Linked DNA regions of Callithrix jacchus. The protein of the gene in region 2 purifies or fractionates together with the protein of the main gene of each other region. This does not show direct contact. Links are inferred from orthologs where the notes say so. Each region holds a gene or a part of one and is shown on either strand. Other genes may lie near its edges.

Region 1 (7,255 bases), on a different chromosome or scaffold from region 2:
CAGCACAGGAGGCCCCTCCAGCCCCGACCTTGGTCCAGTGCACCCCACCCCCACCTGCCCTGAAACAGAGGCCCTGCTCCCTTGGCTAAAGGTCTACAAGAGGGTATGCAGCTCTGCCTGCGCATCAGATCAAAGCCGGGGTGGGGGAAATTATGAAGAGATGTTTTCTGGGTCTTACAGAGACTCTTACAATCAGGACCAAGTATGTATTTTTGATAAGGCCTCCCTCCTCCAGGTGACAGATTTGGGATCCCTGAAACAGCAGGTCACAAGCATTTGTCAGGTATGTGGTCAGGAAATAGAAACTAGCAGTGACCTTTAACTGAGTAGGGAAGGCTAGACTTAGGAGCGTGAAAGGTTTCCAAGAATCTCTAAGCGTTATTTGCCCCCCAAAACACCCACATGGCTCCTGGGCATGCACCTTGCTCTGAGTGGCAGAAGACGAAGGGGTCGGCTGTGCTCTGGCGGCCTCAGTCTCAGGCTTCTTCTCCTCCGTTGCCATGGCTCTGACGCTGGTCACACAGGGGATGTGGATGGAGAGTCCCAGTGACAGAGGCAGTCTGCCGAGCAAGATGCAGAACAGGGGGCCAAGGCCAAGAAACAAACCATATTTTTAAAAATGGATTTTCAGGAAAAAGGATTTAAAGGAAAACATTTGACTACCAATTGAGCCCTGTAGCAAACAAACCATTCCAAATTGAGAACCCTATTAATTACCCAAAGTCCTTGCTAATACTTTCTAGCTGCTCTGCTGAGACACCTGCTCTCGTCACTTTTGTAATCATCAAAGACCCCACCCTTAAGGGTGCTTCCTATTTTGTTGTCCAGAAGTCTGTAGGAATGCAGCAGTTTGTGCAAACAAAATGCAATTTTCTTCAAAGAGCCCTGGACACGGCTGGGCGTGATGGTTCATGCCTATAATCCCAGCACTTTGGGAGGCTGAGGCAGGAGAATCACAAGGTCAGGAGCTTGAGACCAGCCTGGCCAATAAGGTGAAACCCCGACTCTAGTAAAAATACAAAAAAAAAAAATTAGCCAGATGTGGTGGCACGTGCCTGTAATCCCAGGAGGCTGAGATAGGAGAATTACTTGAACCGGGAGGTGGAGGTGCGGTGGGCTGAGATCGCGCCATTGCACTCCAGCCTGGGCAATAAGAGTGAACTGTCTCAAAAAAAAAAAATAAAATAAAGCCCTGTACATATTATAAAAAGAACAGCAAAAGGTTTCCTGACAGTAAGCTAACATGCCAAATGACAGAAGATGGCTTCAGGGTGCAGAAGTTTGGGAGCACAGCCAAATCCTAAAATGCACCCACTGATGCAATCACATTCACAGCCAAGCTTGAAGGCACCCAGCGGTCTGCGCCTCAAGGGTGGGCTCCGGTGCCTCCATGCACAGGCTGCAGGCACCAAGCTGCCTTCCAGAATGCTAACAGCTCACAGGCCTCGCCCCCAGTGAGGAGCTACAAAACTCAGCAAAGAGAGCAGAGCGAGCCAGAGCCAGCTCTGCCTGCTGGAATTCCCACAACCTGCCTTCTGGAAAAGCAGCCTCAAGTACACCAGGGATATTCTACGAGCAAGACCAACATGCAAGGGAATGAAAAAAGACTGTTTCAGCTTGACAATAAAATTTACCCAAAATCTCTCTAGTAAGCAGCTAGTTTCCTCCATCTCGAGAATAGATCCATTACTTGAATACGTCTCATAAAAGCACAACAGGTTATTCTGAAAGGAGGCACAGCATCACTAAAAAAGCAAGCCACTGAGACATGCTTGCAAATACCACTGGCCATCAGAATTCTGGAAGCTAGCACCACCATCCATCTAACGAGTTTACACACTGTACGTTCTAGTTTGCAGCTTGAAACCGAAATCTTGCAAGGCTGCTTGTAACATTAAGGTGAAACGGAAGGCATCAAAAAGAGTCTCAAAGTCTTGATGCAAGAGGAAGGCAGAGAAACTACAACACCCACTTTCCAGAAAACAGGTGTGGCCACAGATCCATTTCGCCTGCAGCAAAGATTCCCTTCGAAAGGATGGATCACGATGCATCTAAAGCCTGAGCATCACACACTCTCACACACACACATACACACACACACACACACACACACACACACACACACGAGTGGGGAAGGGGAGGGGCAGGCCCTGTAGAGCTGCCCAGAGTACAAAGTGCCAGTACAAAGCCAGTCCTCGGTAAATGCCGGCTACATGGTGCTTGTCATAAGTGCAACCTGGCCATGGCAATTTAACCCAACTGCTGCCTTCTCCCTGGCACGCTGGACAAGTACAAGGAGAGGGAGGAGCTACGGAAATCCAAGCAAAAAGCTGCAAAGTCCACTGCAAAGGTCCTAGCCGGAGACAGCCAAGTCAGGGCAAGAGCTGAGTGAAGTGTGGCCGTTCCCTACCCAAGTGAAACACCAGAGGAACAGAAGGCAGAACCGGCAGCTCAGAGGGCCGAGCAGCTCCAGTCAGCTGTCTACTCACCTAGGTGAGTCCAGATGCCTGAAACACCCTCAGGCAAGGCGCAGCAGACTGGCGGTCTTACAAAAGGAGCTCAACCCCTCCCAGCTCAGGCCCACCCACCCCACCCTTTGGGCTCTAAAAACATTAACAAGTAAAAGAAACAAAGAAACAAAAAAAACCCTTAACTTTAACATGCCTTTTAAGAATAGAGTTTCTTGACACTACACACCCACCAATTTCTACCTCAGTGGTGGGGTCTAGGCTTGAAATTTTCTTTTTTTTTTTTTTTTTTGGGTCGAGGCTGGAGTGCAGTGGCAAGATCTTGGCTCATTACAACCTCCGCCTCCGGAGTTCAAGCGATTTTCATGCTCAGCCTCCAGAGAAGCTGGGATTACAGGCGAGCACCACCATACCCGGCTAATTTTTTGCATTTTTAGTAAAGACGGGTTTTGCCATGTTGCCCAGGCTGATCTCGAAGTCCTGAGCTCAGCAATCTGCCTGCCTCAGCCTCCCCAAGTGCTGGATTACAGGTGTGAGCCACCACACCCAGCCCAAAGCTTGGCATTTTCATAAACACCCAGGAGTTTCTGTGAAGAATCACTTTAAGGGAACAGGAAGGTTGGCGACTTGATGCTGAAAAAGTGGGGGCCAAGAAGGTTCCATGCACGGTGATGAGGAGTTGACCGCCCCCGCCCAGGTGCGGCCTGGCTCCTCCTAGCAGCTGCTGCTTTTCATCCAGGTAAGCCTGACCACCTGAAGCCCAGCAACTAAAGCTCAGTATGCTCTCCTGGGCTGGATGCCACTGGCGGATTCCGGAGTCCCTCAGTCCCCAAGGTGGAGCCCAGGAATCGGCCTGCGGCATGCTGTCCAAGAGAGCATGCTGCGTGCAGACCGGAATGAATGTGCATCCCAAACAGCAGCCAGGTGGCCGGCCCGACAGCGGTGGGAACCCGGCGCTGCGCATCTCAGGTCCTGGACGGGCTCCCGGCCTGGGTCCTTCGCTTACCCATCTGTCTTCCCCACCGGCTAGCACCGCACCTGCCCAGGTCACAGCGTAAGCATTTGGGAGATAGGAAAACAGACCTGGGTAGCTGGAAACTTGCCTGCGAGACAGCAGGGAGGGTCGTTAGCGGGAAGTAACAGCCCAACCTCCGTCTAGTCCGGGAACGTAACCGCTCAAGATGGCTCTCGCAGACCGGCCAGGACTGGTCTGCGGCCCCGCGCGAGGAGGAGCGGGGGACCCTCCGTTCAGGAGCGAGGACCCGAACCCCAGGACCCCACCTAGCGAGGTGCAGCCTGGCTGCCTCCGGTTGGAGTGAGCGGCGGGAGCGGGCTGGGGCGTTTCTACGAAGGGAAGCGCCACGTCCGGGGACTGACTGGCTCGTGGGTCTGGTCCTTCCCTGGAGATGGAGGAAGAGGAGCGATGTGAGGCCGGGCGCGCCGCCGAGGGAGAGGCCCCAGTACCGGCGCTCGGGCCTTGTCAGCGGCCCGCCAGGGAATCGGAGGTGGGAGCGCCGGTGGGGGCGGGCGGGGTGCAGGGGCCTGCGCGCGCGGCCGTCCACCGAGGAGCCCGTGAGGGGGTCCCGGGCGGGGCCGCCGCAGTGGGGGTAGCGCCGGGGGCTGGGCCTGGCCGGAGGCCCGGCAAGGAACACGTGCGGCGGCCGGGGACGATGTGAGGGCTTCTGGCGCCGTCCCACTCCCCGCCTCGTGCCCCCCGGGCCGGGCGGCTGCCCACTTACCTGTCGGGCCGCGGCGGCGGGGCCGGGCGCTCGGGACGTCGCGTCGGCCGCCTCCTGGGCGGGAGCGCGGACTCTGCGCGACAAGGCGGCAGCTCCGGCGGGCGCCAGGCGGCGGGGGCGCAGTGCGCGTGCGCGAGGGGAGGGGGCGTTGTCCAAAGGCGGGGCGAGCGCACAAAGCCCGCCTCTCGGAGAAGCGCTACGGGCCGCGGCTGCGGCCAGAATGCCTCGGGCAGGCCCAACGCTTTAAAGGAACCGCGCCGGGAGCACGCTTCCCGCTTTAAAGCTTTAATCCCGAATTCAGCTGCCGCAGGCCCTTCTAATGCACTTCCTAAAAATGGAAGTATAATAATACATACAGGAAAGTGCTAGTGTGCTCTCGCGTTTCCAAGACTGAGTACGCCCTGCACACTGGGACCAGAGGCCCTCCGGGACCCGCGCAGGTGGCGTCGCCTGGCGTTGTCCCCGGAATCGAGGCGGACCGGGGCACCTCCCCGGGCGACCAGGCCCCTTCTGGATCATCGCCGGTACGGATGACAGCGGCAGTGGGCGTTTGGAAAGCACTTGGGGCCGCGCCCGGGCGCAGTGCCCCCCATGTGGCCGCCTACCCTGGGCGGGCAGGACGACTCCGGCCCATTTAGAAGCCCCAGAGCCTGCGCGTTCACTGAGCTCGGAAGCCCGGGCTGCGCCTCCCCGCGGGGCCGGCTGCTCTTCCCGCCTCTGCTGGCACAGAGCCAGCGGTGCGCGCACCTGCTCCTCCCCAGCCCCGCGGACTGGGAGAGCCGCGTTGGAGACACCCGCGCCCGCTCCGCAGTGCGCAAACTCACTTTGCACAGGGCTCTCTGGGGCCAACCCTTTCCTCCTGGGCGGGTATTTTCACCTACGGGTACAAGGGGGTGGTCCCCAGAGGAGGACCCCGGGGCCTAGAAGGTGAGGCCCGGTCGTCTAGCCCTGACTACTGTGCATTCTCGCCTCCTGCTTCACTTCTTAGAGCCTTGGAGGTAGGTACGGCCTCCCTACCCGCTCAACTAGGCCTGTGGGAAGAATAACATGCAGTCACTTATTCTCCAATTTAAAATGGGAACACAGAATATGACACAGGAACCCGTGCAAACAAAGGGACAGAGCATTTGAAATAAAAATGTCCGGGGAGAGTGAGGTGTGCGCTTGTCAGAAAGGCTGAACCGAAAGACTGGCAGATGGTCTGGAATCCCCTTCCCAGGAAGGACACAGAAGGGAAGGTTCCTGTGTGGTCCGGCAGGGCTGCGTGTGGATCTGTGTGCCCAAAAGGCCTGGTCCCTTGGGCCAGGTGCCCTGGAGCATGGAACAGTGACTGTCACAGGTTAGCAAACCAAGCTCGGATGAAGGCCATCTCCATTCCGTCCACCTGGCTGCCTGGGCCAGAATCCCCGCCCATCACCTGCTGTTCTCCCCCACACTGCTTCAGATCTCAGATCCATCTACTTCTCCCCACCCCTCCCCACCCTAGCTCCCACCTGGCTCTTTTCCAAACCTCCAGACAGAGAAACTCCTAAAATTCCAGCTCTCATCCGTCAACTCCCCAGTTTAAAACTCAGAACCAGCTTCCCCCTGCCCTAAATTCCCTAATTCCCACTGCCCAATGCTGCTAAAGTGTTTACCAGACCCCGCCTCCTCTTCCAAATTAGCACCGCCTCCCAAACTGCAGCCCTGGTTCCAGCCCCAAAGCAAAAGTATTTCCAGTCCTTCAGCCCTCCGGGCAGAGCAAAATAAGGGACTGGCTCACAGAAGCCTCAGAACTCAAACCAGGTTCCCAGCCACCCCACCCTCAGGAGATAGAGCCTTCTAGTAAAAATGAGAAACTCCTCTAACCCTGTTCAGCGTTTTTGCAATCCACCCTGCAGTCATAGCTAAAATTCTGAACCCGGCCAGGCAGGATAGCTCACGCCTGTAATCCCAGCACTTTGGGAGGCCAAAGTGGGCAGATCACCTGAGGACGGGAGTTCGAGACCAGCCTGACCAACATGGAGAAACCCTGTCTCTACTAAAAATACAAAATTAGCCGGTTATGGTGGTGCATGCCTGTAATCTCAGCTACTTAGGAGGCTGAGGCAGGAGAATCGCTTGAACCTGGGAGGCGGAGGTTGGGTGAGTCGGTATCAGGCCACTGAACTCCAGCTTGGGCAACAAGAGCAAGACTCCATCTCAAAAAATAAAATAAAATAAAATAAAACAAAATTCTGAAACCATATAACGCCAGCAAGGAAGAGCAATTTAACAAAGGCAAGAAATTTGCTTTACTAAGTTTTAAATCCTTTTATATCCTACCCAAACTGTTGTCGGGCTCAGGAAAAAATATTACAAGTGAAAATAGAAGGGAAAACAAGAATCACAGAAGAGGGGAAAAAGCACGAAGATTTCTTTTTCCAAATATTAACCAGGCTTTAGCCACCAGGAGTGAATTTGAAAATAGAACTGCTTCTCTGAACAATTTTTTTTTTTTTTTGAGTCGGAGTCTCTCCCTCTTGTCACCCAGATGCAGTGCAATGACACTATCTTGGCTCGCTGCAACCTCCACCTCCCATGTTCAAGCAATTCTCCTTCCTTAGCCTCCCAAGTAGCTGGGATTACAGGCACTTGCCCCCACGCCTAATTTTTGTACTTTCAGTAGAGATGGGGTTTCACCATGTTGGCCAAGGTGGCCTCGAACTCCTGATCTCAGGAGAACTCCTGGCCTTCTCTAAACAATTTTTTTAATAAATATAACATTTTGGCGGGTCCCAGTGGTCCATGCCTATAATCCCAGCACTTTGGGAGGCCGAGGCAGGCAGATCATGAGGTCAAGAGATCGAGACCATCCTGGCCAACATGGTGAAACCCATCTTTACTAAAAATACAAAATAATTAGCTGGGTGTGGTGGTGGGCACCTGTAGTCCCAGCTACTCAGAAGGCTGAGGCAGGAGAATCAATTGAACCCAGGAGTCGGGGTCGCAGTCAGCGGAGATTGCGCCACTGTACTCCAGCCTGGCGCAAAGCCAGACTTCATCTCAACAATAAATAAGTAAATACAA
Region 2 (7,155 bases):
AAAAAAAAAAAGGAAAATGCTTTTCCCACATGCCTCTGAACTTTTACTTATACCATTTTTTCCCTTGGTCTAAGCAAATGATGGTACAATATTTAAGCCTAACACTTTATCTCTGTGCTTTTAAAATAAAAATTCTCCCATTTCGTTTCACCTAAGAGTTGTCCCTTAAGAAATAAAAATTTAGACTAAATCAAATATTTTATTAGAAAAAATCCTGCTAGTGGAGATCCAAAATCATTTATCATTAAGAGATGAATAAAATAAATAGCCCCATACCTTAGAATAGACTTCTGTATAAGAAGGACATTACATCCTGTTTTTTTAATTTGCTTCACTAAATTTAAAATATAGGCTCTCTCTTCTCGAAGCACTCGGTCCATCTGGGCATAGTCAGAAACCACTATTTGATTATCCATCTGTTCAGAAAAAGAACATTATAATTTGCATTGTAAGATATTTTAAGTTCAAACATAGATGACTTTTAAGTGAAAATACTATGTACTGTAGAAATTCAACCAAAATTATACCAAGCAATAAATTATACAGACATGCATAGAAGAGTCTGGAAAGATATATGCCCCAAACTTGAGTCTTTTACTTTCAACTAAATACATTGCTATCTTACTTTTTTGCAAGTACTTTTTTATAACCAAAAAATGTAAAATGATTATCCTATTTTCATTGTTTTTAAAAGATGGGGTCCCTTTTTAATCTGTGTGAATTTGTAGATCAACAATGATGACAATGAAAAGATGGGGTCCCACTATGTTGCCCAGGCTAGAGTGCAGGGGCTATTCACAAGTGATGGAAGAGCACACTGCAGTCTCAAACTCCTAGGTTCAAGCAATTTTTCTGCTTGAACCTCCCAAGCAGCTAGGACTACAATCGGCTAGCTTTCAATTTCAATATCCAAACTGAGGATATAGACTTGTCACTTGTAGCACCAACAACTTCTGTTTTTGTCTCAATTCTAATAATTCTTTTGAGATCTATGCTTTAAATCACTAGCAGTATTCTCTGTTTTTAAAAAACAAATGCCTGAATTATTAAAAGGTTAAACACAAAGGGAATCAATTTCATTTCTACTTACATCTGTTTTGGGAGCAGATAAGCAAAACTGAATAAGTCCAATCTTGGCCTTTTCAACTCTGGTTATGCCGGAATTTGACACTTTTTGGGTGAGAACCAGCCCTTCCACCAACTCACAGTCATCAATTGTCCCACTGAGAAAAAGAGAAAACAAGGAGGGGTAGTAGTTAAGAGGGAGTGGACATCTGTACATTTTGTTAACAGATTAAAAGTCATCAGTTCAATAAAATGTGCTAACAAAATCTGTTATTGCCCCATTCCTGGATCTCTTTGATCCACTACTTACTATCATAATATAAACAAAACCTTGAGATTTCCATACTAATACAAGTTCTCATGAAAACAAAACCAGAGAAAAGAGAGCTTTGTGACTCATCTAGGTGTTTTTACCTTATTTATGCTCATTTTCAACCTTTTATTCAAGTTATAATTAGATATGCTTACCCAAGCTTCTTAACTATTTTAATATCTCTAAGATCTACACTGGTGGCTGTTCCTGGGTCAATCACTTTCATCACTGCATTTACACTCATTGGAGAAAGCAGACTTGAATACTGAGAAACAACCTAGAATTATTTAAAAAAAAAAAGGTTACCTTCACAGTAGAAATAAGTCTTAATTTTTCTATGACAAAGATACTTAAGAAGTGCTCTAATAATTTCTACAATGGGGTTTGGTTGGGAAGAGGTAAACACACATGAGAAGACAGCCCATAAACTGTCTTTTCCATTTATGTTGTCACCAGGGGTACAAAATAAAAACATGTATGTTTGCTTTTTTCTTTCATTAATATAGTAGCTCAGACTGTAGAATATCAAAGTCTTATTGGAAATTCAAAAAGCATAATGTGAATATTTCCTATCTAAAATTAATGTGTGATGAGACATTAATGTTAGATATGTACATTCCTGATGAGGGGCTCATAAAAATTGCTAACATTTATCAATCATTTAATATATGCCAGGCAGTGGCCTTCGAACTTTACATATTAACTCAATCTTCTCTGAAAAACTGAAACCAAGAGGTTAAGTCATTTGCCCAAACTAACAGCTTTGTTAAGTGGTGAAGTCAGCACTGAAAAAACACAAGCAGTCTAGAGACTCAATGACTAGTGTTTGTAATCATTATGGTATACTAACTGTATTAGTTATGGGAACATCCAACAGTATCACTTAGCGTCCCTAACACTATCTAACATTCAAACAAAATGAATCTATGGACTTAATACTGCTTTCTTTTTGAGACGGAGTCTCGCTCTGCTGACAGGCTGGAGTGCAGTGGCGTGACCTGGGCTCACTGCAACCTCTGCCTCCTGGGTTCAAGCAATTCTCCTGCCTCAGCCTCCTGAGTAGCTGGGACTACGGGTGTCCGCCACCACGCCCGGTTTATTTTTATATTTTTAGTAGAAATGGGGTTTCACCATGTTGGCCAGGATGGTCTTGATCTCTTGACCTCATGATCTGCCCTCCTTGGCCTCCTAAAGTGTTGGGATTACAGGCGTGAGCCACTGCACCCGGCCCAATACTCCCTTTTTTTTTTTTTTTTTTTAAAGGAAAAATGATTAGGGGGAGGGAGGGATAAACACAGAACATTACAGAAAACAGGTGACATGAATTCCAAAGAAATTTAAAAGTACAACACCGCTTTAAGTTTGATAACTAAGAAAAGCAGCATATGTATTAGTTAAGGGACGGACCACGATGGGCAGCCTGTCCTGGGTTCAAATCTCAGCTCTTTCTGTTACTGGTCCTCAGATAACTTACTTCTCTAGATCTACTCTTTTATTCTATAAAATGGGGATGTGACTACCTGAAGGCCTTGAAGAGGATAAATAAACGTAAAAAACTCGGGCAGGGCGCGGTGGCTCACGCCTGTAATCCCAGCACTTTGGGAGGCCGAGGCGGGTGGATCACGAGGTCAAGAGATGGAGACCATCCTGGTCAACATGGTGAAACCCGGTCTCTACTAAAATTACAAAAAATTAGCTGGGCACGGTAATGCGTGCCTGTAATCCCAGCTACTCAGGAGGCTGAGGCAGAACTGCCTGAACCCAGGAGGCAGAGGTTGCGGTGAGCCGAGATCGCGCCATTGCACTCCAGCCTGGTTAACAAGAGCGAAACTCCATCTCAAAAAAAAAAACTTATCACAATGCCCACCATATTAAGTATTCAATAAAAATTTTTAGCTGGACATGGTGGTGTGTGCCTGTAATCCCAGCTACTCGGGAGGCTGAGGCAGGAGAATTGCCTGAACCCAGTAGGTGGAGGTTGCAGTGAGCCGAGATCGCGCCATTGCACTCCAGCCTGGGTGACAAGAGCCAAACTCCGTCTCCAAAAAAAAAAGGATTTTGAGAAAAAAAAAAATTAGCTATACTACTAGTGATCCTACGGCAGACTTTCTGATTTGGTAGATGAAAAGGTTTCTAACAGGCAAATTAAAATATCCAGCTTTATGAAAACACTGTTACAATGATTGGATATGGATACAGTATACATTAAATATTCTAGCTCCTTTGTTAGCCTCATGGCTCATTTCTTCTCATAATCTTACTTAAACCAATTCAGTTATACAGATTTTAAGTTATCCAGTCAATCTTGAGACTTAGTTTTTACGTATTATATAGCATCAAGGAGCATAGAATAACATGCTTTAATTTAACCACTATCCGTTACTGCTTCTTGAGACTGTTTTTATGTATTGTATAGCATCAAGGATCACAGAAAACACACTTTAATTTGACAACTATCCATTAGTGCTTGTCTTACCTTTGAGTTCAATGAAGTGGTTGCACTATTTAACAAAGTTTCTCTGTCACTCAGTTCCACAGGTCGAGACATGTCAGTCAAGATTTCAATTCCCTTTTCCAGGGCCTTCTGGAATGACTCGGAAATGATGGTTGGATGAATCCCTGTTATTTGTGAAAGCCTAGTTATCTAATTATAACAGGTAAACTACAGATTTGACAAAACTTAAAATTTTTCTTTTACTAATGTCAAAGCAAGCACAAATACAAAATCTATATTATACAAAGGTATGCTATTATATACAAAAGTATGCTTCAGTTGTAAAAATAGTGGTTTGAATTACCTGCTAACTATGGCTAATAATTTATTTCCATGTAATTTAAAATAGATCAATCACATACTTAAAAATCCAAATTTTATACCTTTCTTTCTTTCTAAGATGGGGTCTCACTCTGTCACCCAGGCTGGAGTGCAGTGGCCTGATCTCTGCTCACTACAGCGTCCACCTCCCAGGCTCAAGCAATCCTCCTACTGAGTAGCTGGGACTACAGTTACATACCATCACACCTGGCAATTTTTTTCTTTTTAGTAGAGACAGGGTTTTGCCATGTTGCCTAGTTTGCTCTCAAACTCCTTGGGCTAAACTTATCTGCCAGCCTCAGCCTCCCGAAGTGCTGGGACTACAAGTATGAGTCATCACACCTAGCTGATACTTTTCAAAATATCACAAGTCTACATAATACGTAGAGTAAGTGACTGGAAAGTCACTACTATGATTAAACACTATCTACTAAAGCAAGGACAATCCTGACTTTCTCTCCCAAATCATCTTTCCTAAGAGTCTAAGATTGGTAATATTAATACCAGTCATTTTTGAATGGCAAAATTGATTTCCATTCAAAAAGGAGCCCAGCAAATATCAGAAGCCAAAGGAAATTTTCTTCTAATTACTATCACAAATATAGCAAAATCTAAAACTTTAAAAATTCTTGGTAAAAAGATTAGCTATTCTAAATCAAATCTTAAATCCCATATTACTTACTTATAACCTGGCTTTTCCTAAAGTTTGTTCTTTTAAACTTTTCTTTATTCAGTAATAAAGCACATTCTACCCACCTTTCTGAAGAAGCTTGGTACAAGAATCTAAGAGAGAGCCAGCAATGATGACTACTGATGTGGTACCATCTCCTGCTTCTATATCTTGAGCCTTAGACAGCTCCACCAGCTAAGTGAACAGAACATGCCAAGTTGCGCAATGAGAAATGAGAGAATCCAGTAACACCTAATGCAAATGATCATACCACTATCACAAACAGAATCTGAGGATTCAGCATAATTCTTGTTTTCTGATTTGTTGTCGACCTTGGGTTTCATTTAAAATTAAAGACTAGGGCCGGGCACGGTGGCACTTTGGGAGGCCGAGGCGGGTGGATCACAAGGTCAAGAGATTGAGACCATCCTGGTCAACATGGTGAAACCCCGTCTCTACTAAAAATACAAAGAATTAGCTGGGCATGGTGGCACGTGTCTGTAATCCCAGCTACTCAGGAGGCTGAGGTAGAATTGCCTGAACCCAGGAGGCAGAGGTTGTGGTGAGCCAAGATCGCGCCATTGCACTCCAGCCTGGGTAAGAAGAGTGAAACTCCATCTCAAAAAAAAAAAAAAAATTAAAGACTAATATATGATCTTCAGTTTGGATTGTGGGTTGTAATCTCCCACTGCCCTGGTACTTAGAAGTTCGAATCAGAAAGCAAAAATGCTGTATCAGGAATACTCTATAGACTTGGAAGCTAAGATAACGGGGCATTCCAGATGAGCCTAGAGCATCAAACTTTTTTTTTTTGAGACAGTGTCTCACTGTCACCCAAGCTGAAGTACAGCAGTGTAATCAGGGCTCACGGCAGCCTTCACCTCCTGGGCTCAAGCGATCCTCCTATCTCGGTCTCCCGAGTACTTAAGGCTATATGTATGTGCTAACACATCTCACTATTTTAAAATACAATTTTTGTTTTATAGAGATGGGGTCCCATTATGTTGCCTAGAATGGGTCTCAAACTCCTGGGCTCAAGCAATTCTCCTGCTTTCAGCCTCCCAAAGTGTTGAGATTACAGGCATGAATGATCATATCCAAACTCAGAGTATCAATTTAAGTCTTTTGCCAGGTTTATTTGAATAGACCCCTTGTAATCATAATCTGATTCATTTAGAAAGCCATCTTTACATAACTTAAGGGATTTTTTTGATAGAAATTAATTTTTTTCTGTTTGTTTTGAGACAGAGTTTCGCTCTTGTTGACCAGGGTGGAGTGCAATGGTGTGATCTCAGCTCACTGCAATCTCTACCTCCCAGGTTCAAGCAATTCTCCTGCCTCAGTCTCCCAAGTAGCTGGGATTACAGGCATGCACCACCACACCTGGCTAATTTTTGTATATATTTTTTAGTAGAGATGTGGTTTCGCCATGTTGGTCAGGCTGGTCTCAAACTTCTGACCTCGTGATCCACCCACCTCGGCCTCCCAAAGTGCTGAAATTACAGGCATGAGCCACTACTCCCAGCTGATAGAAATTTATTTCTAATGAATTAGTTTTTGCTTATATGACTGGACACTAGAATTATTTTGATATTTAGTTGAACCATTATTTTTAATAAATGTCTGCAAATTTAGACATGATTTATTTTACATACGATTATTTTGTTCTCTTCCACTACCCACTGAATAATTTGTACTAAACGAGAAGCATAGACTGGGCGTAGTGGCTCACGCCTGTAATCCCAGCACTTTGGGAGCCCAACATGGGTGGATCATGAGGTCAAGAGATCAAAATCTGGCCAATACAGTGAAACCCCGTCTCTATTAAAATACAAAACTTAGCTGGGCATGATGGTGCACGCCTATAGTTCCAGCTATTTGCGAGGTTGAGGCAGGAGAATTGCTTGAAGCCGGGAGGTGTAAGTTGCAGTAAGCCAAGATGGCACCACTGCACTCAAGCCTGGAGCCTGGTGAAAGAGCAAGACTGTTAAAAAAAAAGAAAAACAGTAGGATTTATGTTTCCAATCTCCTCATTCCTCAAGTGTATGCCACATTTCCATAGACAAGTATAAGGTAAAAAAAGTAAAATAACTACTGTTTCCAGTAGATTATTTTTAGACAATGAATTTTCTTCTGTGGACATGGTGAATTGTTATGTACCGTATCCTAATAATACAGCAATCATTTGAGAGAAAAAATATTCATTTCCATGGACAAGTATAAGGTGACTTGTGTTTTTTTCCTTTTTTTTTTTTTTTAAGACAAGATCTTGCTCTGTCACCCAGGCTGGAG

Evidence for each region.
Region 1: the proteins of CCT4 (region 2) and WDR5 purify together in Homo sapiens (affinity purification with mass spectrometry; 3 studies listed by BioGRID and IntAct, with this or other methods). This does not show direct contact. The link is inferred for Callithrix jacchus from reciprocal best matches to the Homo sapiens genes CCT4 and WDR5.

What each region holds. Positions count from the first base shown.
Region 1 is NC_133502.1:182,701,030-182,708,284, reverse strand, and holds the start of WDR5 (WD repeat-containing protein 5), read right to left. Parts: upstream 4,334-7,255; 5' UTR 4,208-4,333; intron 3,869-4,207; 5' UTR 3,750-3,868; exon of another isoform or gene 3,552-3,749; intron 561-3,551; 5' UTR 503-560; coding exon 422-502; intron 1-421.
Region 2 is NC_133515.1:52,246,418-52,253,572, reverse strand, and holds part of CCT4 (T-complex protein 1 subunit delta), read right to left. Parts: intron 5,059-7,155; coding exon 4,950-5,058; intron 3,998-4,949; coding exon 3,855-3,997; intron 1,656-3,854; coding exon 1,534-1,655; intron 1,224-1,533; coding exon 1,091-1,223; intron 417-1,090; coding exon 277-416; intron 1-276. UniProt on the Homo sapiens protein: Component of the chaperonin-containing T-complex (TRiC), a molecular chaperone complex that assists the folding of actin, tubulin and other proteins upon ATP hydrolysis.